Ovis aries: one gene and its partners. The protein of the gene in region 1 purifies or fractionates together with the protein of each later gene. This does not show direct contact. Links are inferred from orthologs where the notes say so. Each region holds a gene or a part of one and is shown in the gene's direction. Other genes may lie near its edges. The genes, in order: SF3B3, PRPF8, U2AF2, SNRPB2, SMC1A, CCDC97 and SF3B6.

Region 1 (4,064 bases):
CCGTTCTGCCATTTTTTAGTGTGAATTTTGGCAAAGCATTTGGCATCTGTGGACCACTATTTCCTGGTTTGTGAAATGGAAGACTCTTAATGGCCTTTTCAGCTTTATTCGTTTATTTGAATAATTCTTACTGGAGTATAGTTGATTTGTAATGTTGTATTGGTTTCAGGTGTACAGCAAAGTGAATCAGTTACACACATACATGCATCCACTCTTTTACTTTCAGCTTTGAAAGTTTGACTTTATGGTACTGATTAGTCTTTGTGCCACTGTTACCTAGGAAGCAGACAATGATCCAACTGGGGAAGCAGCAGCTAATACCCAGCAGACGCTTACTTTCTATGAATTAGACCTTGGTTTAAATCACGTAGTCCGAAAATACAGTGAGCCTTTGGAGGAACATGGAAACTTCCTAATTACAGGTACTTTTTTCTTCCATCTGCTTTGTACCATTTTGCTTGGTACATTTTATGCCCAAACTTAGGAGTGTTTACTTAATAGGATTTGGAAGCTATAATCTATTCATAGTAAACCTGAGTGCCTTGTCTGTGTTTTGGGGATGTTAGAAATTCATGTGGTGGTTAACTCTTACCCTCTAATGGGATAGAGAAAGAAAGAGCAGTCGGCTTGGAATATTGATTTCTGGTGGCTGCTCTGGTGTTTTGACTGTAGTCAATCTTTCACTCTCATTACAAAAATCAAAATCTGGCTCTGTGAAAAGGCATGTTGTGGATGAAACAAGATAAAACTGTCCTTCAGTTTGAAAGCCTAGATGAAATAGAAATATTTTTGAAAACTGTCACCAAAATTGATAGAAGATGAAATTAAGAACCTGAATAGACCAACATTTGTTTAAAAAATTGGGGCAATAATCAAAAATTTCTTTTCCTCAGAAGATTTAAGGTCCAGAATTTTTAGGGACCTTAAGTTTCTTGAGCGATCAGAAAAAGAATAAAAACCTATGTACCACTTTAAGAGCTTAGTATAACTTCATACCAAAACTGGGGAAGGACAGTAATAAGAAATATTTACAGCCTAGTTATCCTTTGATGGTAGATGCAGAAATCTTAAATTTTAGCAAATCATATTCAACAGTGTTTTATATGCGTCATAGCAAAGTATGATTTTTGTAGGAGCTCAAAGAGGTTCACCATGAAGAATCAATATTAGTTTAATTCATTATATTAAAAGACTAAAGGACAACTATATTTGTGATGTCTAAATTGTATCAGGCTCATCTAAGATGGTGATCCAGTCCTTTCTGTTTTGAGTCATTTGCATTTGATGTCTAAAATGAAGTATGTCTGTTGTTGGATAGGATTTTGGAGAAGAAAAATATAAAATAGCAGTTGTCTTTGAGTGTTAAATCTTAGGAAGAGACTATAAAGCAGAAGCATTTTAAAAAATAGATTATGTTAATTACTTGTTATTATGTATTATGATACTTCTCATTTACAAGGGTTTCATTCATTAAACAAATGTTTACTGAACCTCTGTGATCACTACGTGCAAAGTCAATCTGCTGGCCCCTGGGACTGCGTGGTGAAAAAGTTGTTGTGGTGTCTCCTTATATACAAGATTGAGTATAATGGTGAATACATACTAGTAACACAAAAATTACCAGAGTGTGCCACATGCCGTGACAGCATGGAGGAGGGGTTCCTAACCAGAAAAGGAAGGCAGTGCATTAGAGAAAGCTTTCAGAAGTGCTCTTAGCCGAGGACTAAGGAATAGTTAGGAGTTAGGGGCCATGAGGGTGGAGGAGGAGTTTCTGTTGTGGGCAGAGGAAATAGAATGCACAAAAGCCCAAATGCAGGGAAAAAACATGGTTCATTGAAAACTGAAAGCTCATTGTGGTTGGATCATTGGAGGTGAAGAGCTGGGGTGGAGGAAGCAGAAGAATAATGACCTATTAAAGGTGAATGTTTTAGAAAGATCACATGATTACATTTTGGTAATGGAATGGAAGGTGGTAAGGTCAGGAAGCATTTCCATTAAACCAAAAGAGGTTTGCAGCATGAGGACTGCTGAAGAGGTAGAACCAGTGTGGGAGAGGAGAGAATTGAAGGGTTACATCCTTTTTGCTGCAGAAAGGATGGTTTGGTCGATTGGTTGATGACAGTGTTCTCTAAGGTTGAGAACCCAGGAAATGGTTTGGTAAGGAACTTGGCAGTGGTTTGTGAATGCGTTCATTTTTAACCTGCTATGGAATATCCATGTAAGAGTGTCCATCAGGCAGTTGGATTATAGGTCCGAAGCTGAGAACTGAGTTCTGGGCTTGGAGCTAAACTTTTAGATGCCTTACTAGATATCTGGACAGGCTGAGATCACCCAAATGGTGTTCCATCCTTGTCTAGTGTAACTCTCAGGGAAAAGAAACACGTTGAATGTTTAGCCCCTTCAGGCACCTTTAAGTTGTGCTGAAGGAGAGAAGGAATTGAAGGTTAAATTCATAGTACTAGTTATTGTTTTCTCATGACAGTTCCAGGGGGATCAGATGGTCCAAGTGGAGTGCTAATCTGCTCCGAAAACTACATTACCTATAAGAACTTCGGTGACCAACCGGATATCCGCTGTCCAATTCCCAGGAGACGGGTAGGTCTTTGTTACCATAAGAGAATATATTTATGTTGTGAAATGAACTTAATTTTTGTTAAGTGTTTTTAGTAAAGTCAGTAAGTATTTTAGCACAACAAAACAAAATCTGAGAAAGAAAATTGAAAATCAGCACAGTTCTGGGCTGTGCACCTAAAACTAGCATGATATTGTAAGTCAGTTGTGCTTCGGTTTTTAAAAAAGCAGATACAATTTTCATTCTTGAAGAACCTATGAACATTATCCATTTGCAATTCCTGAAAGTTTCTAGTTTGAAGAATCCAGGTGTATTCATTACAGGTAAATAGTCTTTCATTCTCCCCTACCCCACCCCATTCCAGCATAGACAAAATCTAAAAGGAGCAGACAGTGAATTCCTATAAACTTTTCACTTAGCTTCACTTACTAGTACTGCTCTGCTACATTGGCCTTTTCTTTGTTTTGTATCTGTGTTTTTTAGGCAAGACCATTTGAAGATAAGTTGTAGGGATCATTACACTTTACAACAGTTCCTTGTACTACCCCGTTTTTAAGAGATTTGGGTATCCGTGGATTTTGGTATCTGGGGCCTCGAGGCTCAGACTAATCCCTTGCAGGTGTTGAGGGATGATTATAATTAAGTTCTGTGTACCCAGCTTCAGTTATCAGCAGCACATGGGTAATCTTCATTGATCTCTGCTTCCTCAAACTCTTTTCACCCCAAATTAATTTTCTTTTTAATATTAATTTATAGGTCCTGGGGTTAAATCTTTTTAAGACATAGTTTATCTAGTACATGGTACTTGAGTAAGATTACATCAATTTTAGAAAATTTGGTAAGATTAGCAAGTTAAATTTTTGGAGTGGTGTTAAGTAATAAAGTTTAGTTATCAGAAATTTATTGAGCACCTGACTGCCAGGTGCTGTACTTGACTTTGGGACTACAAAGAAATATAAAACATGTTTTGCCTTTGAGAGAAATACAAAATGTTGGAAATACTTAAAAAGAAACAAAATCCAGTTGAGGGGGATGCCTTTTGGGATTTTGGCAAGTTGATAAAGACAGAAGAGGGATGGTGTTGGTGGTTTGGATAGTACTGTGAACGTGTAAGAGTCTTATTTACAGCCTGAAATGATGATTCTTTAAATTTCATGTCTCTTCTCTGACATTTTTCTCTGGAGATAGTTTTTGCCTTATTAATCTGATCAGGCTGTAGAGTGGAATTGTGGCTTTTTTTTTTTTTAACCTAAGCTTTATTATGTATTTATAGTAGACAAGAATTTCTGTTTATTGTGTTATATAATCCTCTGGTTGGCAAGCTGCTCTGGGTCACAGCTTGCATGGAGAGACTCCAGGTGCCTCTAGACATTTGGTGGCCTGTTTGATCCTTATTGGTAAGGTGCTGAATTCCAGAAAAGAAATCCTAATTTCTAAGATGTTGATCGTGTATTTGACTTTGCTAGAATGACCTGGATGACCCTGAAAGAGG
Region 2 (4,064 bases), on another chromosome or scaffold:
TCTCATCGTGCCTTTTGCACTTTCAGGTCCCTGGGCTGCCAACACCGATAGAGAATATGATTCTTCGGTATGTGAAGGCCAAGGCTGACTGGTGGACCAACACCGCCCACTACAACCGAGAACGCATCCGCCGCGGGGCCACTGTAGACAAGACCGTGTGCAAAAAGAACCTGGGCCGCCTGACTCGGCTCTACCTGAAGGCCGAGCAGGAGCGGCAGCACAACTACCTAAAGGTTGGATGGAATAGGCTGGGCTAGGGGCACGGAGGGCGAGTAGGAGGGCAGACTGCAGAGTTGGGACCGTGCCTGGCCCTGGTGGGATGAGGCTGCAGTGGGAAGCTGACTCTCATATCCACCTTGCAGGATGGTCCATACATCACAGCAGAGGAAGCGGTGGCAGTGTATACCACAACTGTGCATTGGCTGGAAAGCCGTAGATTCTCGCCCATCCCCTTCCCCCCGCTCTCCTATAAGCATGACACCAAGTTGCTGATCTTGGCTTTGGAGCGGCTCAAGGAAGCTTACAGGTGAGGAGTAGAGTCGACAGGTCCCTGTAGGGAGGTGATGGACACAGAGTGGCATCATTTTTAGAGTCCACAGAAGGCCTTTCTGGGGATGGCTTCCTCTTGGTTTTCCCATTCACACTGTTTAAATTTATTTTTTGCCTGCACTGGGTCTTCATTGTTGCCCTTGGGCCTTCTCTTGTTGCAGCAAACAGGGGCTACTCTACTTGCAGTGTGTGGGTTTCTCATTGCAGTGGTTTCTTTTGTGGAGCATGGGCTCTGGAGCTTGGGCTCAGAAGTTAACAGTGCATGGGTTTAGTTACCCCCACGGCATGTGAAATATTCCTGGCCAGGCCAGGGATTGAACCCATGTCCCCTGCTTTGGCAGGTGGATTCCTAATCACTGGACCAGCAGGGAAGTGCCCTCATTCACCTTTTCTTTTGCCTTGTCAGTGTGAAGTCTCGGTTAAACCAGTCTCAGAGGGAGGAGCTAGGTCTGATCGAGCAGGCCTATGACAACCCCCATGAGGCGCTGTCCCGCATCAAGCGTCACCTCCTCACACAGAGAGCCTTTAAAGAAGTGAGTGAGATGCCCCACACGTTTTCTTTTGGCTGTGTGATTCATTCATGGCACCCAGGGTGTTTGGTGGGTTGGTGTGAGCCAGCTTCCTTGTCCCACAGGTGGGCATTGAGTTCATGGACCTCTATAGCCACTTGGTGCCAGTGTATGATGTGGAGCCGCTGGAGAAGATCACTGATGCCTACCTGGACCAGTACCTATGGTACGAAGCTGACAAGCGCCGCCTGTTCCCACCCTGGATCAAGCCTGCAGACACAGAACCACCTCCTCTGCTTGTTTACAAGTGGTGCCAAGGTAAAACTTTTCTGGGGTTGCCTCTAAGGAAGGCAGATACCTTAATTTCTACATTGAAATTCTCATCCAGATAGCATAATTAGTTTACTTTCTTGATGCCTGGTACCAAAGAAATGGTGTTGATGTTACACTGAGTGATTTGACTCTGCTAGCTAGCAATCCAATGAATGGAGTGGTCTTAAGATCTGGATAGGAATGTGACGGCTCTGTAGGCTCTAGTCCTGAAAGGGAACTTCTAACCTGCCAGAGCTTTGTGTTTCTTCCCCCCCAGGCATCAATAACCTGCAGGATGTGTGGGAGACAAGCGAGGGTGAGTGCAATGTCATGCTGGAGTCACGATTTGAGAAGATGTATGAGAAGATTGACTTGACCTTGCTCAATAGGCTGCTGCGTCTCATCGTTGACCACAACATAGCTGACTACATGACAGCCAAGAACAACGTCGTTATCAATTACAAGGTGTGTCTTGGGTCAGGGTGGCAAGGAATTGGGGGAAGCGGGAGGTGGTCGGGCCCACTGAGTTGGGATTTCCGTGGCGAGGGGAAGGCAGAAGAGGATGGGCCCTGAAAACCCTGGGATTTGGCTGTGGTTAAGAATTGTCTTTCTTTCTAGGACATGAACCATACAAATTCATATGGGATCATCAGAGGCCTGCAGTTTGCCTCTTTCATCGTACAATACTATGGCCTGGTGATGGACTTGCTTGTGTTGGGATTGCACCGAGCCAGTGAGATGGCCGGGCCACCTCAAATGCCAAATGATTTCCTCAGTTTCCAAGACATAGCCACCGAGGCTGCCCACCCCATCCGTCTCTTCTGCAGATACATTGATCGCATCCATATATTCTTCAGGTGAGTGCTTGCCTGGAGTCTTATTGTGTTGAGGTCCTTGCCCAGCTTCTGAAGCAGCTATTGTACTTTAGTTGACTTGCTGCTGGGTTGGCGCTCTGAAATGGGATGAAGTCCTGTGAGTAGGGTGGGAATTGGGAGTGGCCTCCACCTGTGGAGCCATAGGCCTCATGAGATCCAGTGTCCTTGGGCCTCAGCCACGCACCTTGTCTCTGTAGGTTCACAGCGGATGAGGCTCGGGACCTTATCCAGCGTTACCTGACAGAGCACCCTGACCCCAACAACGAAAACATCGTTGGCTACAATAACAAGAAGTGCTGGCCCCGAGACGCCCGCATGCGCCTAATGAAGCATGATGTCAACCTGTGAGTCTAAGCCTGAGGGACCCAGAGGATGATTAAAGGGACTTGATCAGGCGGTGTCCTGGGTGGGAGGGCGTGTTCTGTCAGGACGTCATCAGTCTAGCTGGCCTTTGAAGGGAAGCTCCTTCCAAGAGACCTATGTGACCCTGTGTTCTCTGTGGGCAGGGGTCGGGCAGTGTTCTGGGACATCAAGAACCGTCTGCCACGCTCAGTGACTACAGTTCAGTGGGAGAACAGCTTCGTATCCGTGTACAGTAAGGACAACCCCAACCTGCTGTTCAACATGTGTGGTTTTGAGTGCCGCATCCTGCCTAAGTGCCGCACCAGCTATGAGGAGTTCACCCACAAGGACGGGGTCTGGAACCTACAGAACGAGGTACAGTCTCAGGTGGGGCCGGGGGCAGGAGTAGGCCCAGCTGCATCCTCACAGGTGTGGGGTGAAAGGCGCAGCACACTTTCCATTGTCAGCTGGGCCTTCCTGGGAGCCTAGGGCTTAGTGGTGGTCAGAGTTGTTTCTTGTTCCCCTGGCATTTCCAGAGGTGGTTAACCTTGAGCTTGTGATGTAGGTGACTAAAGAGCGGACAGCTCAGTGTTTCCTGCGTGTGGATGATGAGTCAATGCAGCGCTTCCACAACCGCGTGCGCCAAATCCTGATGGCCTCTGGCTCCACCACCTTCACGAAGGTACGCACAGTAGTCGTGGCCTCTGTCCAGCTCATCCCTTCGGTCCTTCCCTGCTTTATTGTTCTTCTTTCCCAGCTGTGTTCAGAGTACAGTCTCCATGCTTCATGGTACAGCAGCTTAGAGTGTCAGATCAATTTACAGTGGTTTCCTGAGAATTCCCTGTAGGAATTCTATAGCCTACATCCGTGTAGTTGCGATGCTTCTAAGTTGAGAGTAGAAGTGGGATTTTTAAATTTGAAGGCTTGAAAAAAAAAAAAAAATTTGAAGGCTTGTTATCCAGGTCATACATTTAATCTTTTGACCTTTAATATAGCATGCATGTTAAAAAGCAAGTATAACAAGGTATCTTTGTTTATTTCCTCTTCAGTTGCTTCCAAAGCCCCCCACTCCACCCCTTTGGAAGGCAGCTGGAATTGAGAAAGAGTAATCTGAAGATTACTTAACTGTGTGGGCTTATGTTTTATCAAGGTTTAAAAAGTCGCCTTGCTCTTTCTGCTGTTTTCCCGTTCTAGAAATGGTGCACGTGAATGTCCTGGCTGTTGCTCTCAAGAGCATCAGTTATACCAAAAAGAAAGGGAAGTCTAGGTTCTTATCAGGTTGTATTTCAAAGTCATTGTCCAGTTTCTAGCTGTGGTGACGAGGCAGCATGATACTGGTGAGTTTGAAATCACTAGTGATCACAAAGCAGGCAAAACTGTGAACTTTACGGGCAGATTAAACAACTGTCGTGAGGTGATCAGCCCCAGATTTGCTGTGCAACTCAAAGATCTAGAAAAGTGGCGGTATATTCTGTTC
Region 3 (4,646 bases), about 62 Mb from region 1:
AAATTAAAATGATAAAATTTGGAATAAACTAGGCCCCGGCCTTTTCCTGGGCAGGGGGTGGCCGTTGCCGCGGGGACGGGGGCTCTGGAGGATTCCGGAGCGTGGACCGTCAGGCGGGAGCCGGGGAACTGGGCGAGAAAGGGTGTAATTAGCTCCCGCAAAGGCAGGGGTGGGAGGGGAGGCAGTTGTGCCCTGGGGGCGGGGCAGCACTTCGGGGAAAGTGCGTGAGCACCACCCGCTGGGCTACTGGGACCAGAGGCGCGGCGGCAGGAGGGACTCCATGACCTCCGACGGAGGTGGCCTGCCGGGGCAGCCGGGAACCTCCGAGCTGAGGAGTCCGCCAGGAGGCGGTATCGCGAGATTATCCGTCTCCCGGAAGTGTCCTCCGCGGCGCCTGCGCGGCGGGGCGAGCGCGCTTGTGCGGTCGCCACGGCAACTAGTAAAGAGGCGGCGTAGCTTAACGGTTGGGAATGCAGTGCCCTCCCCGGGGTAAGGGGAAGACTCGCGCACGCGCGCTGAGGGCTCTGGAAGCAGGGGTGGGGGGGCCTTTCTGGAGCGGCTGAGAAACCTCGCCTCAGACCGACGTCTAACGCAGGCGCAGAAGCCCATCTCGCCCCCCCCGCCTCTTTCACCCTGCGCAGGCGCACAAAGCCGCGCTGGCAACCTCCGCAGCGGCCGCGCGCACCCTTTACCCCGCTGGCTGCTTTTGTCTCGCGCAGCCTTCTTAGGCTCTCCACAGGAGCGGCCCTTCTTTTCCTCCCCTTTCCCCACCCGGAGAGTCAGGTGCCGAGAGCTGGGACGCTGCCCTTCTCCGTTTCCTCTCCCCTGACCCACCTCGCCTCTGTCCTCCCTCCCTTTTCGGTTCCCGGAGCCGGAAGGAGCCGAAGCACTGACGGAAAAAGCCGAAGCTGTCACCCGTGAGTGGGGGGTCTTCCCGAAGTGGTGGCGGAAGGAGCCGAAGTTCTCCGGGAGGGGAGGAGGGTGCCACTGGAATCTCCGGAAGGAACCGAAGTTTGGAAACAGCTAGATCTCTGACTGGGTCCGAAGGCGAGCGCCGGAAACCTTCGGAAAGTGCCGACTCCGGGACGGTTAGGACTGTCGGAAGTAGCCGATTCGCTTGGACTGGGCCGGCGGAGAAGAGCGGGGAGAATCAGCGCAAGCAGTCAAAGGGACGGTTTGAATTTTCAGAAGAAGCCGGATTCTTAGAGGGGGCTGGGTACAGAGGAACGCAAGGAACTCCGAAAACATCCGAACGTGGAAGAGCTAATATCCGAAAAGTTACGAAAACTTGGGAGAGTCCGCGAAACCCTCACTTCGGGTGTTTTCGGAAGCAGCCGTAGTCACCGCTCCGGACGCTTTCCTCTACGGTCCGGAAATAGCCGACGCGTTTCGGCGCCAGACCCTGGGGGGAGGGGCACCTCGCGGGCGCGCAGGCGGTGAGGGGCGGAGCCGGGGCGGGGCGGGGCGGGCAGCCAGGCCTTGATTAGGTAGGAGGCGGCGGAGCGCCGGCGGCGGCCGGAAGTAGCCGAAGCTAGCGGCGGAAGTAGCCGAAGCGGCCGGAGCGGGCGCGCGGCAAGGCGAAGCGAAAGCTGCACAGCGCCCTACGCGGCCGCCTCAGCATGTCGGACTTCGACGAGTTCGAGCGGCAGCTCAACGAGAATAAGCAAGGTGAGAGTGCCGGGGGAGAGGGGCAGCGGGCGGGGCGGTTCTTGGCTTCCCTCCGTGTCCCCCGCCATTTTTCCCGTCGCTTCCCCCTCTTCTTAGGGCCGCGCGGCGCACCCCCCCTCCCGTCCCGCGGCGCGCGCCTCGCTCACGTGACCGCCCGGCGTGCCACGCGCGGCGGGGAGGGGGCGGCGGGCGCCGACCCGGACGCATGCGCACCGCGCTCCGCTCCGCGCCTAGAGTGGTCGCGTTGGAGGCGGCGCTGGCGCAGCGGGCTCGCCTGGTGTCACCTCACGGATTTATGCGTTTTTTAATCTGGAAAGGGGATTGTATAGATGAGTCCAGCAACTCCTTTTCGCCCGACGCCCTGGCACTTCCGCTTCCGGCTGGTTAGGCCTGGTTCTCCACGCCCCCTTTGTTCCAAAATGGCGGTTGTGGGTCCCCCTTCACGTGGGCGCTGGCAGTGCCGCGTGGGGAGCACCTCTCACCCCGGCGCCTTTGCCCTTCTTCCTGCTCACCGGCCGCCGGGACCCCGCGGGCTGCTAGGGTTGGCGGCGGTGGAAGAGGCCGCATTGTCCGTGCTCTGTGCCCCTCCCGCACCCCTGCACCCCTTCTTGGGGCCCTGGCTCCCCCGGCGGTCGCAGTGCGGAGTGTTTGTCTGTCATCGCTCCCCACGGCCTGCATGATCGCGCCAGCCTCCTAAATCTCAGCGTGGAGCGGATTCTTGGGCACTGAGCGAGGAGAGGGCTCGTTTCACTTCAGAGGGTGGGAAGCTCGTCCCCCTCGGGAGACGGCGAGTCCAAGCACGGGGCTGTGATTAGTTTGGGGACTCCAAGAACGTTAGCGCTGGGAGAGTTGTAGGACAGTTAGCAGATTTCCTTGCCGCCTTAATCCGGTTTGAGAGTGAACAAATTTGGGTCGAGGGAAGGTGGCGGGCTTGAGGCTTACTCTGCTTGTGTCTGGAACGCTGAGTGAGGGGCGCTGGGATTCACCTTTCGGCCCAGCCTGAAGTTGGGGAGGGGGTGGCTGGATCAGTAGACTGTGCCTGGGGAAGCGTACCTACCCACAGGTTGTCTGTCCCATACGTGATGCACTGCTTAACAGCACGGGCTTTGGAGGGGAGCAGACGATGAGTAGCACCTGATGAGTGCCTGAGTATTTGTGGGCCTATTTTTTTCTCACGTAGGTCGCTGGTGTTTTTTTTGGTCGCTAACAGATGATAGTGATAATAGTTAAGTTTACAGCACCCACCACAGTGTGTCACGCACGTTGCTAAGCTCTTCTGCAGTTTTCCTAAGAGGGTTCTTGTAACAGCTCCGCGAGGCTGAAGTGATTTCGTACCCTTCGCAGAGGTGGAAACAGACTCAAGAATAAAAGCTTTCCAGATTTCAGCTGATGAGAGGCAGAGCTGAGATTCAGCGGGCAACATGCCGACAGTGTGTGGCATGTGGCTTGGCCTCTTTAAAGTACCCAATAAGTGAACCTTTTCAACGGTGAAATCGTTCATAATGTGCGGGCTCACACGGAAATGTGGACGCGCGTTTCCAGCAGATGTACCCAAGCCGTACACCTGGGGGTGCCCAAGAGCCTCATTTAAATAACAGGAGAAAACAGGTTTAGAGGTTTGGTTGCTGTTGCACGGTTTTGTGCAGGAAGCTGAAACGGCCCCTGAGTCTGCGGGGCTGCGGAGTCGCGTCCTTCCAGGCTGGACAGCCAGAGCTGATGGAGCTGCCCTGGGGCCCTGACACCCGCGCTCTGGTCTCTGCCTGGGTGTCCCCTCTGCCCTGGGAGGCCAGGCCCTCAGCCTGGGCATGTCCCTGGGGTTGGTGAGTTGTTCCATAACGACGTGGCCGTGGCATTTAGAGCAGCCAGAGCTCCCCTTCTGTTCTGATGTGTGCTGGATCATTCTGTTTTTGTTTTTGTTTTTTTTTTTTCTGGGGTGGGGCAGGGGTTTCCCTTGCTTTATGGGGCAGCTTTGCCCACGTGCTGCTCTGCCCCTGAGTCTGTCTTGGCGGTCCTGCCTCCCCCAGGCCTCAGCCCCTGCGACCTGGGTTCCGTGTTTGTGTCCATGACACCCGGCGGGCACCAGTGCTTACTGTGTGACCACCTCTCTCTGGTTGTCTGTTTCTGAGCCTCAGCTGCAGGGAAGGGTGTCTCCCCGTCTTAGCAGTGGGGAGCCAGAGGCCCAGAACCGTTGTCCATCCCCTTCCCAGGACCAGGATGCTCCTCACACTGCTTGCCCGTTCCTCCTGGTGCCAGTCTTGGATATATTTTTCACGTTTAGTCTTTTCATCTTTGAGGAGGCAATTTCACCATCACCAGTGGTTCCAGCCAGGTCCTAATGGGTCTGCCTGTTTCGTGTTTAGAGGTATTGCCCCTGCCTAGCTGCCCTTGACCTTTCAGGGTTCATATTCAGGCTTCACCTGTATCCAGGCTTTTTGGCCAGGGCAAGTCACATGACCTCCCTAAGCCTCAATTTTCTCGTCTGTTGTGAGCGAGATTCCCGCTCCCAGCAAGTGTTTCCCCACAGTAACCCGGGGAGTAAAAGCAGCAGAGTCTGGTTTTAGACAGGATCTGAGTGTTTGCAACGAGGTTTTTTTCTTTTCTGGGTGCGTATGTAGCTTTAGTGTTAAAACTCATTTATAAAAGTTCGCGGGTAGTTGCTTCGGAAGAGCTTGAGAGTTGAAGCAGTACGCCCGAGGCTTTGACAGCCTGTCCTTACTGCCCCCGCCTCCTTGTAAAATGAACTGGAGTCTGAGGGCTGGTTGAGCATAGTGGAGGAACCAGTGGCCTCTTTGAACCGAGGGACTGGACTACAGACCGCGTGGGGCAGAAGCCGCGCGCCTCGGAGGGTGGCGGGCTGCTGGGCAAAGGAGGGGAGGTCGAAGGCCCCGGCTGTAGCGGCCGTGGGGCGGTCTGGACGAAGGGCCCACCCAGCTCCTGCGTCCTTGACGCGGGGGTGGTGGGCGGGGCCTCCCAGGAGG
Region 4 (4,722 bases), on another chromosome or scaffold:
GAGATGGGAATATCAGACCACCTGACCTGCCTCCTGAAAAATCCGTATGCAGGTCAAGAAGGAACAGTTAGAACCGGACATGGAACAATGGACTGGTTCAAAATTGGGAAAGAAATACATCAAGGCTTTATATTGTCACCCTGCTTATTTAACTTATATGCAGAGTACATCATACCAAATGCCAGCCTGGATAGAGCACAAGCTGGAATCAAGATTGTCAGGGGAAATATCAATAACCTCAGATATGCAGATGACACCACTCTTATGGATGAAAGCGAAGAACTAATGAGCCTCATGATGAAAGTCAAAGAGGAGAATAAAAAAGCTGGCTTAAAACTCAACATTCAGAAAATGAAGGACTTGGAATCCAGTACCATCATTTCATGGCAAACATTTGGAGGAACAATGGAAACAGTGAGAGACTATTTTCTTGGGCTCTAAAATCACTGCCTATGGTGACTGAAGCAGTGGAATTAAAAGACGCTTGCTCCTTGAAGAAAAGCTATGACCAACCTAGACAGGATATTAAAAGCAGAGACATTACTTTGCCAACAAAGGTCCATCTAGTCAAATTATGGTTTTTTCAGTAGTCACATATGGATGCGAGGGTTGGACCATAAAGAAGGCTGAGCACTGAAGAATTGATGCTTTTGAACTGTGTTGTTGGAGAAGACACTTGAAAGTCCCCTGGACTGCAAGGAGATCCAACCAGTCAATCTTAAAGGGCATCAATCCTGAATATCCATTGGAAGGACTGATGCTGAAGCTGAAGTTCCAATACAGTGGTCACCTGATGTGAAGTACTGATTCATTAGGAAAGACCCTGATGCTGGGAAAGATTGAAGGCAGGAGGAGAAGGGGATGACAGAGGATGAGATGGTTGGATGGCATCACCAACTCAATGGACATGAGTTTGAGCAAGCTCCAGGAGATGCTGCAGGACAGGGAAGGCTGGTGTGCTGCAGTCCATGGGGCTGCAAAGAGTCGGACACGACTGAGTGGCTTAACAACAAAAAGGCTACTGTGAGTGTTCTGAGCACCTTTGTGATAGGTCTGGATTAAATGTGTGATGCTGGGTAAGTTAGGTGTTATTACATGTGTTCTCAGTTGCATCTTACAGTGCTTTCAACTTACTGATGTGTTTGTCCTGTCTAGTCGTGTCCAACTGGACCATCCCATGGAGTGCAGGCCACCATGCTCCTCTGTCCACGGGATTTCACAGGCAAGAATACCGGGGTGGGTTGTCATGCCCTCTCCTCCAGGGAATCTTCCCAACCCAGGGATCGAACCCAGGTTTCCCGCATTGCAGGCTGATTCTTTACCGTCTGAACCACTAGGGAAGCCCACAGATGTGTTTATCAGGATGTTCTAGGTTAAACAGCGCTAACTCATGGTGACGGAACTGATCACCGTCTGTCCTTATACTCTTACTGCGCTCCCCCAGAATTCGAGTTAAACCCACAGAATTCCCCCAGGCCTATTTCCCTTACCGCGTTTCCCCTTCACACCTGTTCTCCCCATCCACCAGGTGTGCGCATGCTCAGAGCGATTACTTACTGTGGTCTAGACCGACGGACATCGATCCACTCTGGGCTCGGCTTCTTGACTGATCGGCTTTCGATTGAGGTGCGTGGTAGCGTCATTTCCGGTGGCTGGTTCCGCTTCCGGGTTCTGGCTTGTGGTTGTTACGGGACGTAGAGGACCTGTTCGGTGAGTTGGCGGGGTTTTTTTCTTCGCTCTCTCCTCTCTTCTGGCTGCGGGTTGCGGCTTAGGCAGACCTTCCCCTGCGGGAGCCGAGAATAAGCGGTCCGCTGCGCTGGGGCCGGAATATATGCAGCCGAGGGTGCGTGGTGGGTCGCCGAGGAAGGCCTGGAAACTGACGCTCGGGTCTGGCGAGGCCCCTGGACTTAGAGCTTGTCTTAGGCGGGACACTTTGGGGCCGGGCATGGCGTGGCCGCTTCCTGGGGCTTCGGGCGGAGCCCGTGGGCGGACGTCGCTGCGTCTGGAGAGCCGGCACCCTCGCGCGTGTGAAGTTACGGAAAACCTTCGCGTATGCGAGGCGATTACCGCGCGCCGTGCGTTCTCAGGGACCTCCCAGAGGCTCCCCTTTTGAATCCGGAAGGCGACTCCCTGCGCCCCTGCTCAGTTTGATCCCTGTCACTTCCTTCTCTTCATCGTCTTCGAGTCACCAATCCACCAAGATTCAGTTTAGGGGTCTCAAACCTCTGAGAGGCGTTCAGTTCAGTTCAGTCGCTCAGTCGTGTCCGACTCTTTGCGACTCCATGAATCGCAGCACGCCAGGCCTCCCTGTTCATCACCATCTCCCAGAGTTCACTCAGACTCACGTCCATCGAGTCCTTGATGCCATCCAGCCATCTCATTCTCGGTCGTCCCCTTCTCCTCCTGCCCCCTATCCCTCCCAGCATCAGAGTCTTTTCCAGTGAGTCAACTCGTCTCATGAGGTGGCCAAAGTACTGGAGTTTCAGCTTTAGCACCATTCCTTCCAAAGAAATCCCAGGGCTGATCTCCTTCAGAATGGACTGGTTGGATCTCCTTGCAGTCCAAGGGACTCTCAAGTGTCTTCTCCAACACCACAGTTCAAAAGCATCAATTCTTCGGCTCTCAGCCTTCTTCACAGTCCAACTCTCACATCCATACATGACCACTGGAAAAACCATAGCCTTGACTAGACGGACCTTAGTTGGCAAAGTAATGTCTCTGCTTTTGAATATGCTGTCTAGGTGGGTCATAACTTTTCTTCCAAGGAGTAAGTGTCTTGTAATTTCATGGCTGCAGTCACCATCTGCAGTGATTTTGGAGCCCCCAAAAATAAAGTCTGACACTGTTGCCACTGTTTCCCCATCTATTTGCCATGAAGTGATGGGACTGGATGCCATGATCTTCATTTTCTGAATGTTGAGCTTTAGGCCAACTTTTTCACTCTCCTCTTTCACTTTCATCAAGAGGCTTTTTAGTTCCTCTTCACTTTCTGCCATAAGGGTGGTGTCATCTGCATATCTGAGGTGATTGATATTTCTCCTGGCAATCTTGATTCCAGCTTGTGTTTCTTCCAGTCCAGCGTTTCTCATGATGTACTCTGCATAGAAGTTAAATAAGCAGGGTGACAATATACAGCCTTGACGTACTCCTTTTCCTATTTGGAACCAGTCTGTTGTTCCATGTCCAGTTCTAACCGTTGCTTCCTGACCTGCATACAGATTTCTCAACAGGCAGGTCAGGTGGTCTGGTATTCCCATCTCTTTCAGAATTTTCCACAGTTGATTGTGATCCACACAGTCAAAGGCTTTGGCATAGTCAATAAAGCAGAAATTGATGTTTTTCTGAAACTCTCTTGCTTTTTCCATGATCCAGTGGATGTTGGCAATTTGATCTCTGGTTCCTCTGCCTTTTCTAAAACCAGCTTGAACATCAGGGAGTTCATGGTTCACGTATTGCTGAAGCCTGGCTTGGAGAATTTTGAGCGTTATTTTACTAGCATGTGAGATCAGTGCAATTGTGCGGTAGTTGGAGCATTCTTTGGCATTGCCTTTCTTTGGGATTGCGTTACCTTTCACCTGTTAACCTACAGAACAGTCCTCATCTGTAGGCGTTTTGCTTGTCAGACATCCTACGCTATGCAAGTACTATGAGTGTAAATGTTTGTGAAATGAAGGTATATGTGGGTTATCAGGGAATAAAGCAAGGTCCCAGTTCGTGACTAAAGAGTGGGAAAAATGAAATAGTGTGGTGGGTGTGAAATAAAAGTGCAAGAGACAGAAAACGAGGGTTGAATTTTCAGGCCTCCTGCGTATCACCTATGTAACCGTGGGAAAGAACTTGCATTAACTTTTTGTTTCGTCGCCAAATCATGTTCCACTCTTTGCGACCCATGGACTGTATTCCGCCAGGCTCCTCTATCCATGGGATTTCCCAGGCAAGAATACTGGAGTGGGTTGCCATTTCCTTCAGGGGATCTGCGTGACCCATGGTTCGGGCCCGCGTCTCCTGCGTTGACAGGCCGATGCTTTACCACTGAGCCACCTGGGAATCTGTGCTTTATTCTGTGATAAACAGCAGTGACAGCTGTTGTAAGTGCTTACTGCTCATTCTAAAGCTGCAAAGAATTTTATCTCATTTAGTCTTCTGAGCTCTATTGGGCAAATCACCATCCCCATTTTACAGATATGAACCTGTGAAATTAAGGAACTTGCCATCAGTCAAGCAGCTAGTAAGAAGCATAGAAAGATTTGAATTCAAATCCACTGGCACTAGATCCTAAGTTTTTAACCATCATGCTGTACTATACCAGCGTTTCAAGTCGGTTCCATTTGACTTTGGAATCAGGACTGTTGGTGATGGTGTGTGTAAATTAAGCAATAATATGGAAGTGCTTTATGAGAGTACCCATGCAAGGATTCTTAGCCAATTTCATTAATGTTCTGTATCTTATGATTTTTACTGAACGTGCATTAGTTAGCTTGTTTTTTTCATTTTTCACCGAATCTATTCACTTTTTAAATATTGTTTAAAAGGAAAAGTTTCATTAGGCAAATGGATAAAAACAGTCTCACTTGTCATGGAAGAAATAGGTTATAAAAATAGAAGTATGGAATAAAGGAATATTATTAAAAATTGACTAGATAATGGTGCGGCACCAAGTTTTCAACCTGAGAACTGTTCTTTTCTTTAAAAAGGAGGGCTCGCAAGTTTTGGAGAGGTTTT
Region 5 (4,064 bases), on another chromosome or scaffold:
GGTTTGGTCCCTGGGAACATTCTCCTGGAGAAGGAAATGGCAACCCATTCTAGTATTCTTGCCTGGGAAATTCCATGGACAGAGGAGCCTGGCGGGCTACAGTCCATGGGATCTCAAAAGAGTTGGACATAGCGACTAAACAACAAAAGGCAAGCTCTTACTGTGTGCTAGGCACTGTTTTTACATATATGCAGTCATCTTTTAAAATATTTATTTATTTGTCTGTTTTGTTTTTGGCTGTCCTGGTTTTTAGTTGCTGCTTGCAGGCTTTCTCTAGTTGCAGTGCTCAGACTTCTCATTGCAGTGGCTTCTCTTTTTGTGGCGCACAGGCTCTCGGGCCCACGGGCTTCAATAACTGTGGCTCTTGGGCTCCAGAAAGCTGGCTCAGTAGTTGTGGAACATAGGCTTACTTGCTCTGCAGCATGTGGGATCTTCTGGACCAGGGATCAAACCTCTGTCCCCTGCATTGGCAGGTGAATTCTTAACCATGGGACTACCAGGGAGGTCCCTGCCTAAGGTTATTAACTGGCAGAACTGGGATATGAACCTGGGCAGTGTAGCCCACACTTTTTTGGTTTTTTTTTGGCTGCACCTTGTGGCATGTGGAATCTTAGTTCTCTGACCAGGGGTTGAATCTGCACCCCCTGCAGTAGAAGGATAGAGTCCTAGCCACTGGACCACCAGGGAAGTCCCGGAAGCCCACACTTTCAAGTATATTTCACTTACCACCTTCCTAATAACAATCATAGTAAAATAATAGGAATGATGGAAAGTTGTTATAATATTCCAAGAGCCTACAATGTTCCAGGCATTGTGGTGCTGCTGCTGCTGCTGCTGCTAAGTCACTTCAGTCATGTCCGACTGTGTGCGGCCCCATAGACAGCAGCCCACAAGGCTCCACCGTCCCTGGGATTCTCCAGGCAAGAATACTGAAGTGGGTTGCCATTTCCTTCTCCAATGCATGAAAGTGAAAAGTGAAAGTGAAGTCATTCAGTCGTGTCCAACTCTTAGCGACCCCATGGACTGCAGCCCACCAGGCTCCTCCGTCCATGGGATTTTCCAGGCAAGAGTGCTGGAGTGGGTTGCCATTGCCTTCTCCGGGCGTTGTGCTAAGCAGTTTTAAATGTTTAAAAGAAGGTATTAGGCATTAATTAATAGCTAGGGGCTTCCCAGGTATGCTAGTAGTAAAGAATCCACCTGCCAATTCAGGAGATAAGCGTTCAATCCCTGGGTCGGAAAGATCCTCTGGAGTAGGAAATGGCAACGCATTCCAGTATTCTTGCCTGGCAAATTCCATGAACAGGAGCCTGGTACACTAGAGTCCATGGGGCCGCAAAGAGTAGGACATGACTGAGCAATTGAGTGCACACACACACAGAATTAGTGGCTAATACATGTTAAGCACTTAATGTGTATTCTATGAAGTGGAAGTTACCTGCATTTTATAGATGATAAAGCAGAAGTGCAGAAAGGCCCAGAAAGCTTTACTTTGTCTTGGTTTGAGCCTGCCTGCTTGGTGAGGAAGATGTTCCAGGCTGGGTAGAACACCTATGAGAGGGTCTCATAGGGCCCATGGTGGCCCCATCAGTTAGCAGAGGCACACTGAACACTGTTTATATCCGATTTTTAATAGGCCTCTTATACTAGTGACAGATTGTCTGTGATTGTTAGGCTGTTAGAATGATTAGGCATATGGGGGATGAGCCAGGACTCTATGGTCTTGGCCTTAACTTGCTCAGCCTATGGTGATGTAGTGTTTTTGTCTCTCTCCCAGGCCAAGATCAAGCAAAAGCTGCGGGAGATTGAAGAGAATCAGAAACGGATTGAGAAACTAGAGGAATACATCACAACCAGCAAGTATGTGGCTTTGTAACATTCCCTCTTATCTCCAGGCCTGTTCTTGTGAACCCTACCTGTCCTGCCCCTCCCCAGGAAGGACCCTCATCATCCCTCTCGGCCAGGAATATTTTCTGGCCAGCCAGGGTAACCCCAGTATTTCCTCACTTTGTAGGCAGTCTCTAGAGGAGCAGAAGAAACTAGAGGGGGAGCTGACAGAGGAGGTGGAGATGGCCAAGCGGCGTATTGATGAGATTAATAAGGAGCTGAACCAGGTAATGGAGCAGCTGGGGGATGCCCGCATCGACCGCCAAGAGAGCAGCCGCCAACAGCGAAAGGCAGAAATTATGGAAAGCATCAAGCGCCTGTACCCTGGTTCTGTGGTAAGAGTCGAAAGGGAATTCATTTCCTGACCACTGTCTTTCATACTCACTGTCAGATAATTTTCCCAGCAGCCCCATGAGGACAGATTGCTAATTCCATTTTTACACCTGGGGAAAACAGGGTCAGAGAGGTTGAATGACTTGCTCAAAACAGCATAGCTTATATGTATAAGAACTGCAATTCAAATCCAACTTGTTCTTACTCTTAACCTTGTGTTCTTTTCATTGCACCAGTTGTATCTTTCTGAAAGTTTTGTCTTGCTTGTGTCCACTCCTTTATGGGAGGTGGAGAAAGTGAAGAGGCCTTTGGGAAAGGGAAGGGGCTGCAGGGCAGGAATTAGTTCCCAGGATGTATCAGTAGCTTTGTGCAGGCTTCAGTGTGAGCTCCTTAAGCATATAACAGTCAGCTCATTTACTAGGTTCTTTTGGCCTCTTGAATGAAATCCTGAGTTTCCAGATTCCCTGAATATTATCCCTCTATTGCTGTAATTCCATCCCTGGGTTCAACTTAATTGGGTTCTACAAATATTTCTTGATCATTTCCGTAGATCAGGGGTCCCCAACCTCCAGGATCTAATGCCTGATGATCTGAGGTGGAGCTGATGTAATAATAATAGAAATAAAATGCACAATAAATGTAATGTGGGATGATTCAAGCGCGTTGCATTTATTGTGCTCTTTATTTGTGGAACCAAATTAAGTTGCATAATGCCTGTGGTGCCAGTGGTCTATGAAATGGTAAAAGTGAGGTTTAGAAAGATGATTCTGGATTCAGACATGACTGCCTGAAGTTGTTGTTGCTTTGGGGCCAGTGAAGTGAAGTCGCTCAGTCATGTCCGACTCTTTGCGACCCCATGGACTGTAGCCTACCAGGCTCCTCTGTCCATGGGATTTTCCAGGCAATAGTCCTGGAGTGAATTGCCATTTCCTTCTCCAGGGGATCTTCCCAACCCAGGGATCAAACCCGGGTCTCCCTCTTTGTAGACAGACGCTTTACCATCTGAGCCACCAGGGAAGTCCAGAGTAGGCCTTTTCCCCATAGTTTGGGAGCTGTGCTCCTGATAGAGATTCTGACCTGCTATCCCCCTTCTAAGCTAGGAGTTAGGGTTCCTGAGCCAGCTCTCAAAAACTTCATGCTTCATTCACTCTTCTGACTTTCCTTAGTACGGCCGCCTCATTGACCTCTGCCAGCCCACACAAAAGAAGTATCAGATTGCAGTAACCAAGGTTTTGGGCAAGAACATGGATGCTATAATTGTGGACTCAGAGAAGACAGGCCGGGACTGCATTCAGTATATCAAGGAGCAGCGTGGGGAGCCTGAAACCTTCTTGCCTCTTGATTACCTGGAGGTGAGGCTGGTGGTGATGGGGTCAGGGCAGTGTGAGAGGGCTGCTCCTCCTAGCCCTCCATGTTCAGCCACTTAACTAAGCTTTTTCTCATAGGTAAAACCTACAGATGAGAAACTCCGGGAGCTGAAGGGGGCAAAGCTGGTGATTGATGTGATTCGCTATGAGCCACCTCACATCAAAAAGGCCCTGCAGTATGCTTGTGGCAATGCCCTTGTCTGTGACAATGTGGAGGATGCCCGCCGCATTGCCTTTGGAGGCCACCAGCGCCACAAGGTATGGATTCCCTTGCCACATTGTAGCTGGATAGGCTTAGTATTGGCGATTCCTTTGTTCAGCTTCTCTCCCCTCCTCTCTTTTCCCTGCTGTATTTAGACAGTGGCACTGGATGGGACCCTGTTCCAGAAGTCAGGGGTGATCTCTGGCGGGGCCAGTGACCTGAAGGCCAAGGCCCGACGCTGGGATGAGAAAGCAGTAGACAAGTTGAAAGAGAAAAAG
Region 6 (4,550 bases), about 49 Mb from region 1:
CTCCCTGCTGAGAGGGCCTCAGGGCCTCAGGCCCTCTAGCCTGGGAAGTCCCCCTGCTGCAAGCCCATGTGTTGGACAAGAGTGCCCTCTGCTGGCCTCTCTTGGCAACATCTAAGTGTGATCAGTCCCCACCTATTCCAAGCAGCAACTGGGGGGCAAATAGGAAGTTACTCCTCTGCGTTCAGCCATAATATCAGGGTTACTGCATCAGCCTCCTCACAGATCTCGCTGTCCTCCAGTCCATTACCCTGATGCCCTCACCCTCTTCTAGCTCTCCGCAGGATCAAGGAGCTCAAGCTACTTAATTCGGCTTACGTGGCCCACATACTTGGGCCTGGTGACCTCACTGGTTTTATCTTTTGCCACTCCCCTTTCAAACTTCAAATCACTAAGCTGTTTAGGGAGAGCCACAGATCCCTTTTAGGCTCTAAATGCCATGAACTTCTGCCTTGGAAACGCATGTGTATTTGGAACTTTGCATAGATCATGAGAGTCTCCGATCCTTGCAGTCTGGTCAGGGCCAAGTTTGAACTTTCCTACTTCTGGTGGCTCAGATGGAAGCGTCTGCCTGCAATGAGGGAGACCCAGGTTCAGTCTCTGGGTTGGGAAGATCCCCTGGAGAAGGAAATAGCAACTCACTCCAGCACTCTTGCCTACCAGGCTCCTCAGTCCATGGGGTCGCAAAAAGTCAGATATGACTGAGCGACTTTACTTTTCATTTCACTCCTTGACCATACTGAAGTCCTTGCAGCAAACAGAACTATGGATACCTGCCTTCCCTTCTAGGGCTTTGCCTTGCCCACTTCCTACATGAGACCCTTCTCTACCTCCCTCTTACCCTAATTCCTGCTCATCTTTCAGGTCTCAGGGTATCCTTCACTCCCAGAAAGAAACCTTCCTTGGGCCCTCCAGGCTGGGACGGACAGCTCCCTTAGCTGAACCTGTGGGTCCATCAGCCCTGTCCATTTGGTCAGTGGTTTGAATGCCAGTCCTTACCTACCACCTAGGGCAAATTAAGACCAAGGTCTTCTTTCCACACCTGCAGATTCTTCAGGTCCTGGAAACAAAGTGGGACGTTCAGTCTCTGATCTCACCACCAATCGTGCTAACCAGGGACTGGGTGTGATGACAGGCATGCTACAAGACTTAGCAAATATTCTTTGAGGTGGTGAAGAGAATAGACAGGTCTAAACCAGAGCCCAAGCACTCAGAGGTCATGAAGGGTGGTGATTCATCCATTCCCAAATGAAGCATGCTGGGCTCTGGGGTCAGTAGTGCACAGGTTGAACACTGCTTCCCTCCTGAAACCCCACAATTTCGTAGCGGTTCAGGTTGGCGGGGGTGGCCCGGAAGAGCCCATCTGGCCCTGGCGCGCTTTTCCTGCCCGGCTGGAGTGGGCGGGGTCGGGCAGCAGCACGCGTGCGCAGAGGAAGGGCCGCCTTCGTCCCGGAACTTTAGTTCTTGATGCCGTGGAGCACCCGGTCCCAGGAATGTACTCAGCCGGAAGTGGCCTCTAAAGACCTGCGTCAGGAATTGGTGTTAGGAGCTCGCCACGGCGGGTAACAAGTCGTAGACGGTCGGGATGGAGGCCGTAGTGACCGCGGCGAGGGAACCTGGTGAAGGTGAGGTCCTGGCCGCGCGGAGGCGGCAGGAGGGTGGGGCTGCAGTGTCACTGTGAAATGTTTCCCCTTGAAGGTGAAGGAGGACTGTATAAAAGAGGGCACCTGTCCTCGGCCTTACCTGTCCGCTTCACCGCTTTGTCCAGATTAACCCCTGTCTTGGCAGGCTGACCTCTTTTATCCCATCGCCTCCCCTGAAATTAACCTCTTCCAGTTCTTTCGGTGTCCCGGGCTAACCCGTTTCCTTACGAGGCTAACTCAGGCTAGCAAACCTGTCCCTGTCCTGGGCTAACTCTCGCATTATCTCAGCCAACCTTGCTTTCTCATGTTACCTCCTTCCCTTGACTCCTCCCCTCCCACGCAAACTCTTCTTTGCTAACGCCTCCCCACATTTCACTCTAATTCCCTTTCTCCGAAAGTCCACAGTCCCATCTGCTTACTCAGGGTCGTTAATCCATTTCTGTGCTCTCTTTTGCGTTTTCAATCTCTTTATTTCTCCTGATGCCTCTCCCATCAGTACCTAAAATGCTTTTGTTTTGCAAGTTTTAACCTAAAAAGCTATCCCTTGATTCCATGCCGCCTTCCAGATACCATTTAATCTTCTCCAAAGAGTCATTTACACTTGCCTCCTCTTTCCACCCACTGCTGTCTGGCTTTTACCTTCAGAAACTGCACTGATTAGGGTCCCCAGTGACCTCCCTGTGTAGTTGTGTGTTTTTTGTTTTTTTTTTTGTCTTAAGAAAGATTTATGTATGTATTTATTTATTTATGGCTGGGGTGGCTCTTTGTTGCTACATGCAGGCTTTCTCTAGTTGTGGAGAGCCAGGGGCTACTCTTTGTTGCGATGCACAGGCTTCTCACTGTGGTGGCTTCTCTTGTTGCAGAGCACAGGCTCAGTAGTCGTGATCTACGGGTTTATTTGCTCCAAGGCATGTGGGATCTTCCCGGACCAGGGATTGAACCGGTGTCCCTTGCATTGCAAGGTGGATTCTCAACCATTGTACCACCAAGGAAGCCCCACTCTGTAGTTAAACCACATGGCCCTGTTCAGGTTTTTTTTTTCTTATTAAACTACTTGGAGAATTTGATGCCATTGACCCCTCTGTCTTTACTGAATGTTTTTCTTTGGTTTCTGTGACACCATTCTTTCTGATTTCCTTCCTATCTCTCAGGCTCCTCCTGCTCAGCCAGCATTAGTTTCCCATGGCTGCTGTAGCAAATGACCACAAATTGAGTGGCTTAAAACAACAGAAATTTCTTCTCTCACAGTTCTGGAGGCCAGGAGTCTGAAATCAGTATCACTGAGTTGACATCAAGGTGTCAGCAGGGCTGAGGAGGCTCTAAGGAGAACCCATTCCTCAGCTCTCCTAGCTTCTGGTGGCTCCTTGCATTCCGTGGTTTGATCCCACATCACTCCAATCTCTGCTCTGTCTTCACCTTGCCTTCTCCTCTGGGTGCATCAGATCTCGCTATGACAGGACGCTTGTAATGGCATTTAGGGCCCACCAGGATAATCCAAAAGAATCCCCCTATTTCAAGGTCCATACCTTAATCACATCTGCAAAGACCTTCTGAGTTTTGGGGGGGGGTTTTGGCCATGTAAGGTTAACATTCACTGGTTCCAGGAATTAAGATGTGGCTATATTGGGGGGCCATTTTTAGCCTCTCACAGCCTCCTTCCCATCCAGTCATGGCTCTTTCTTAGTCCCTCCTCTCTTTTCATCCCTCACACACTCTCCTGTACCCTCCCTGTGACTTTTTTCCTTCAGCTCCACCGCTTTCCTTGTCTCTGATGACTTCTGTAACTGTCCCCAGAGCAGCACTTCTCTCCTGAGAAGTCTCCAGCCCCAGGTACCAGCAGTCTCATAAATGCCTTCCCTTGGGTGTCTCCTGGGCCTGTCATACCATCCATGTCCCAAATTGGTCTCAACATCTTCCCCCAAATGTGCTCCTCATCCATGCCTGTGTGTCAGGGACAGTTTGACCAGTTTACTGGCCAGAGGCCTGGACCTTAACTGAATGCCTTCCTCGCCTTCCAGCCCTTCAATCCCATGACTTGTCCTAGTCAGCCTCTCAAGCATCTTTTTAATCTATCCTCTCTTCCACAGCCCCTTACATGGTCCAGCCCAGTCTTCTCTTGCCTCAGTGATTAAAACGCTCCCTGAAGCCCATTGCACCATAATCACCACCCTCTTTCTCTTCCCCATCCCAGTCAAGCTACCTAGAGGAGTTGTCTATACTTCCCCTCTTCGCTTATTTCCTGCTTGCAGTAGCCTTGCTCCAGTTCCCGCCACTTTTGAGAAAACAGCTCTCACCAAGGCTTGCCCAGCCCTCAGCTTTTCTGTTTCCAGTGCCTGTACTGGCTTTGACCTTGTCTGTCTTCTCCCATCAGACCAGGTGCTCCCTGGGAGCTGATTTGGATCCCTCAGTGGGTCTTCAGCGTTGCCCAGCTCAGGGCCCAGCACAGATTTAGAGTTGCTGAAGAGTGGTTAGATGGATGTGTGTGAGTAGGAGAGAAGGATGGATGAGTGAGTGGAGTTAGTGAATGTATGGAAGATTTCATGAACAAGGGAAAAGGCAAAATAGAGTGAATCAGTGACTGAAGTGGTCAAGGATAAGGAAACACACCAAGCACACTTCTCTCTCGGGGCCTTTGCACTGGCTCTTTCCTCTGCCACTTCCCACAGAAATCTCATGGCTCAGTCCCTGATGGCCTCAGGTCTCTAACTGAAATGTCACTTTTTTGGCAAGACCTTCACTGACTGTCCACTTAAAACTGCAGCCTGACCCCCATACCCTCCTCCTTCTCTCTTTTTTTATTTTACTCTACAATACTGTATTGGTTTTGCCATACATCAACATGAATCTGCCATGGGTATACACGTGTTCCCAATCCTGAGCCCCCCTCCCACCTCCCTCCCCATACCATCT
Region 7 (3,429 bases), on another chromosome or scaffold:
GGATTGGGTTGCCATTTCCTTGTCCAGGAGATCTTCCCGACCCAGGGATTGAACCTGGGTCTCCCACATTGTAGGCAGATGCTTTACCGTCTGAGCCACCAGGGAAGTCCTGGATTTTGTAATAGCCTCTTATTAGTTCCTACTAACAGCCCTCCCTTCCCTGGTGGCTCAGACAGTAAAGCGTCTGCCTGCGATGCAGGAGACCAGGGTTCAATCCCTGGGTCGGGAAGATCCCCTGGAGAAGGAAATGGCAACCCACTCCAGTATTCTTGCCTGGAAAATTCCATAGACTGAGGAGACCGGTAGGCTACAATCCATGGGATTGCAAAGAGTCGAACACGACTGAGCGATTTCACAACAGCCCTCCCTATAACCAGCGCCCAGTTGCTTTTCCCAAAAGCATGCCATTTTCATTAATGTCAGATTATAATTCTTATTCTTGGTGTATAAATTTATGTATCTTTTTTTTTAGAATGTGTTATGAGACAGTTTTTCAAATGGTAGCACTGTTGCCTCTGATTATAATGATAACCCATTATCTTTCATTTTAGATTCGACTTCCACCAGAAGTAAATCGGATTTTGTATATAAGAAATTTGCCTTACAAAATCACAGCTGAAGAAATGTATGATATATTTGGGAAATATGGACCTATTCGTCAAATCAGAGTGTGAGTCTTAGTGAAACTCTTGAAATGTCATTTAGAGAAATGATTGTGTAATTTATAACTCAGAATTAACAGCTGACAGAGGGCCTTACCAAGAGGCTAGAGACTAAGCCTAGAGACCCTCATGATCCAACTCAGTGAAAGCCAAGAATGGTAGTTGTGAAATTATAGAGAGCATGAAGTAGTAATGAGTGGTTTGAAGGCAACAGATGGGAAGAAAAAGAACTGACATTTTTTTATATACCTACTGTTTGTAAAGAAGTATTCTACTGTGGTTACTCTTAATTTTCTCAAGTCTTCACTGTCTCCTTTACTGACTCCAAAATTTCTGAGTAAGTTGTGTAAAGAAATATAAAAGTAACAGAAAAATGATTTTTTTGCAACTACACCTTTCTGTTGAAGATTTAGAAATATAGGGCAAAGTAATTATAAATCCATGTTTTAATTTAATCTAGAGATTGGGGCTTCAGATGATATCTATTGAACATCTTCTGTATGCCATTTGTCCTAATAGGTGCTTTTATTTGCATCACTGACACTACAACCCTGTGTGGAAGTGATAGGGTGTCTGTTTCACAGGTGAGACTACTAAAGCTCAGAGAGTAAAAGTATCAATACTTTTCTAGTTTCACCCAGCTCTTTAGTGATAAAATCTTGTGATTCTAAATTGAATCTCTGCATAGTACCACAGCTGCTGTCCTTTTAACTAGTATACATGAGCAAATTAACTAGGAGTCCATCTAAGAGGATTTCTAAAGATTTTATTTTCCATTGGAATTCTTTCATGACTTGAGAGTTCCTTCTTGGCTTTTAGAACTCTGTGAGATCTTGAGGATTCTCCTTTTCAGTGATCACTGTTCCTCCAAAAAGTAAACGAAGAGCTAGACATGTACCATCATTGGTACTCAAAACTGAGATGAAGTGTTATAAATCAATTGTCCTTTTAAGGAACTCTTTTTTTTCCAAATTTGATAAAAGCTTTGGGCCCTTTCTGCAGAATACACACAACATTTCACATGTGATTTCAGTGGGTACATGAGCTCTAGGTTAAGAACTCCTGCTTGAGACATACAAGAATGGTATACAGAAGATCCCTTGACTTGGTGTTCAGGAGACAAGATTCTGCTTCAGGATGAATCCTGTGACTCTAGACAAGTTGCCTGGCTTTTTCCTCACATAGAAGATAATCTGAATGGATAGTGCCTTTCAGCTTTTAACATGGAGGCAGTATGATAACCTAGGTTCGAATACCAACTGGGTACTTGCTAGTCATATGAAACAGCAAAATAGTTAACCTTCTGGAGTTTATCTATGATATAAAATCTTTCTAGAAGAATTTCCCAGAGGATCAAATTAGATAGTTCACACTTTGAGTATTTCCTTCCCAATGTGCATCAGCTACCCCGTCTCTGTGCTCCCATAGCTTGTTCTCTTAGTTGTCATATGGTTTTGCTGTTGACTGTGTGCCCACTTATGGCTCCTGCCAGCCTTTGGATTCCTCCAGGGCAGGTAACCATATATTCTTTCCACTTAGTTGACAACCCTTGTTGTGCCTGGCACATGTTGAGCACCCGGTGCCTGTAAGTAAATTAATAATATAGAAAGTGGCAGTGTATTTATAAAGGTATAACAAAATTTATTGATAGTATACAATTAAGAGATTAGTGGAGTTAAGTCAAGATAAAGATTGCAGAGTAGCTCAGGGCCTTAGAACTTTCAGTCCACTGTCTGGGGTGGATTTCCACCCAGCTCATCTCATTCCGGGCTCCTCATTCTTCAGGTCTCAGCTTTAATGCCAGAGTGGTTTTCCTAGACCACCGTAGCTAAAGTAACCCCTGTCTTCCCATTAATCTCTCATTAACTGCAACTGTTTTGTATTTATTTATATAATATCTTTCTCCTGCATGAAAAGAGCCCCTTGAAGGAAGGGATGATGCTCATCTTTTTCACTATTGGATTTCCAGCACCTGTCATGTAGAAAGAACGCTATCTATATTTGTTGAATAAATTCATAAAAGTTTGGTATGCAAGAACTTGGGTCTAAGTTATTGATTGAGGAACAGATGTTTCCTGTCCTGTAGCTGTGGGCATGCTCTGTGGCACCCAGCAGTAGGGTGAGTGGCCTTCTCAGTTTGCCCAGAGCCAAGGAGTTTTCTGGGACAGTAGACTTTCAGTGCCCAGACCTGGACAGTCTTGGACAAACCCGGCCGATTTGTCAGCTCACCTGGCATGTAGCAGACTCTCGGTGCTTTGAACTTTTTAAAGCTCTTTCATACTTGTTACATCTTTTGTTTATGAAAACCATGTGTGAGGTAGGATGTCACTATTTGACACATGAAACAGCTGAAGCTCAGAGAGGTTGTTCCATGAGTAGATCTCCTTATTTTTACTTTAAGCTTTTACCATTGATAAGAAAATAATGTTGGAGGAATTCCGTGGTGGTCCAGTGGTTAAGAGCCAAGCTCTCACTGCCGAGGGCCCAGATTCAGTCCCTGGTCAGGGAACTAAAATCCCATAAATTGTGTGGTGTGGCCAAAGGAAGAAAATACTGTTGACTCAGCACCTAACATATATTAATAGTAGGTACCAAGTATATGTTTTTAATTAAAATTACAATGCAGATTTCAAGATACTAAGTTGATAATTAGGGGCTGGGGCACTTGAGATGGAGCATCTTTAAAATGGGTTTAGTGCCTGTCCTGCTTCTACTTCCTAAGAAGATGTAAGAGGAAAAAGAGAGATGCTCTTGTTTTGTTAGCTTC

Evidence for each region.
Region 2: the proteins of SF3B3 (region 1) and PRPF8 fractionate together in Homo sapiens (co-fractionation; 4 studies listed by BioGRID, with this or other methods). This does not show direct contact. The link is inferred for Ovis aries from reciprocal best matches to the Homo sapiens genes SF3B3 and PRPF8.
Region 3: the proteins of SF3B3 (region 1) and U2AF2 purify together in Homo sapiens (affinity purification with mass spectrometry; 4 studies listed by BioGRID and IntAct, with this or other methods). This does not show direct contact. The link is inferred for Ovis aries from reciprocal best matches to the Homo sapiens genes SF3B3 and U2AF2.
Region 4: the proteins of SF3B3 (region 1) and SNRPB2 purify together in Homo sapiens (affinity purification with mass spectrometry; 4 studies listed by BioGRID and IntAct, with this or other methods). This does not show direct contact. The link is inferred for Ovis aries from reciprocal best matches to the Homo sapiens genes SF3B3 and SNRPB2.
Region 5: the proteins of SF3B3 (region 1) and SMC1A fractionate together in Homo sapiens (co-fractionation; 3 studies listed by BioGRID, with this or other methods). This does not show direct contact. The link is inferred for Ovis aries from reciprocal best matches to the Homo sapiens genes SF3B3 and SMC1A.
Region 6: the proteins of SF3B3 (region 1) and CCDC97 purify together in Homo sapiens (affinity purification with mass spectrometry; 3 studies listed by BioGRID and IntAct, counting the BioPlex papers as one, with this or other methods). This does not show direct contact. The link is inferred for Ovis aries from reciprocal best matches to the Homo sapiens genes SF3B3 and CCDC97.
Region 7: the proteins of SF3B3 (region 1) and SF3B6 fractionate together in Homo sapiens (co-fractionation; 5 studies listed by BioGRID and IntAct, with this or other methods). This does not show direct contact. The link is inferred for Ovis aries from reciprocal best matches to the Homo sapiens genes SF3B3 and SF3B6.

The regions. Positions count from the first base shown.
Region 1 is NC_056067.1:1,105,392-1,109,455, reverse strand, and holds part of SF3B3 (splicing factor 3B subunit 3), read left to right. Parts: intron 1-280; coding exon 281-422; intron 423-2,482; coding exon 2,483-2,595; intron 2,596-3,697; exon of another isoform or gene 3,698-3,788; intron 3,789-4,038; coding exon 4,039-4,064. UniProt on the Homo sapiens protein: Component of the 17S U2 SnRNP complex of the spliceosome, a large ribonucleoprotein complex that removes introns from transcribed pre-mRNAs.
Region 2 is NC_056064.1:22,665,180-22,669,243, reverse strand, and holds part of PRPF8 (pre-mRNA-processing-splicing factor 8), read left to right. Parts: intron 1-26; coding exon 27-233; intron 234-362; coding exon 363-526; intron 527-955; coding exon 956-1,082; intron 1,083-1,183; coding exon 1,184-1,376; intron 1,377-1,647; coding exon 1,648-1,835; intron 1,836-1,988; coding exon 1,989-2,227; intron 2,228-2,442; coding exon 2,443-2,589; intron 2,590-2,751; coding exon 2,752-2,962; intron 2,963-3,152; coding exon 3,153-3,269; intron 3,270-4,064. UniProt on the Homo sapiens protein: Plays a role in pre-mRNA splicing as core component of precatalytic, catalytic and postcatalytic spliceosomal complexes, both of the predominant U2-type spliceosome and the minor U12-type spliceosome.
Region 3 is NC_056067.1:62,669,595-62,674,240, reverse strand, and holds the start of U2AF2 (splicing factor U2AF 65 kDa subunit), read left to right. Parts: upstream 1-1,510; 5' UTR 1,511-1,619; coding exon 1,620-1,668; intron 1,669-4,646. UniProt on the Homo sapiens protein: Plays a role in pre-mRNA splicing and 3'-end processing. By recruiting PRPF19 and the PRP19C/Prp19 complex/NTC/Nineteen complex to the RNA polymerase II C-terminal domain (CTD), and thereby pre-mRNA, may couple transcription to splicing.
Region 4 is NC_056066.1:10,386,724-10,391,445, forward strand, and holds the start of SNRPB2 (U2 small nuclear ribonucleoprotein B''), read left to right. Parts: upstream 1-1,650; 5' UTR 1,651-4,088; intron 4,089-4,722. UniProt on the Homo sapiens protein: Involved in pre-mRNA splicing as component of the spliceosome. Associated with sn-RNP U2, where it contributes to the binding of stem loop IV of U2 snRNA.
Region 5 is NC_056080.1:51,281,108-51,285,171, reverse strand, and holds part of SMC1A (structural maintenance of chromosomes protein 1A), read left to right. Parts: intron 1-1,774; coding exon 1,775-1,857; intron 1,858-2,011; coding exon 2,012-2,219; intron 2,220-3,383; coding exon 3,384-3,569; intron 3,570-3,662; coding exon 3,663-3,842; intron 3,843-3,941; coding exon 3,942-4,064. UniProt on the Homo sapiens protein: Involved in chromosome cohesion during cell cycle and in DNA repair. Central component of cohesin complex. The cohesin complex is required for the cohesion of sister chromatids after DNA replication.
Region 6 is NC_056067.1:50,031,169-50,035,718, forward strand, and holds the start of CCDC97 (coiled-coil domain-containing protein 97), read left to right. Parts: upstream 1-1,515; 5' UTR 1,516-1,582; coding exon 1,583-1,622; intron 1,623-4,550. UniProt on the Homo sapiens protein: May play a role pre-mRNA splicing through the association with the splicing factor SF3B complex which is involved in branch-site recognition.
Region 7 is NC_056056.1:31,744,096-31,747,524, reverse strand, and holds part of SF3B6 (splicing factor 3B subunit 6), read left to right. Parts: intron 1-551; coding exon 552-670; intron 671-3,429.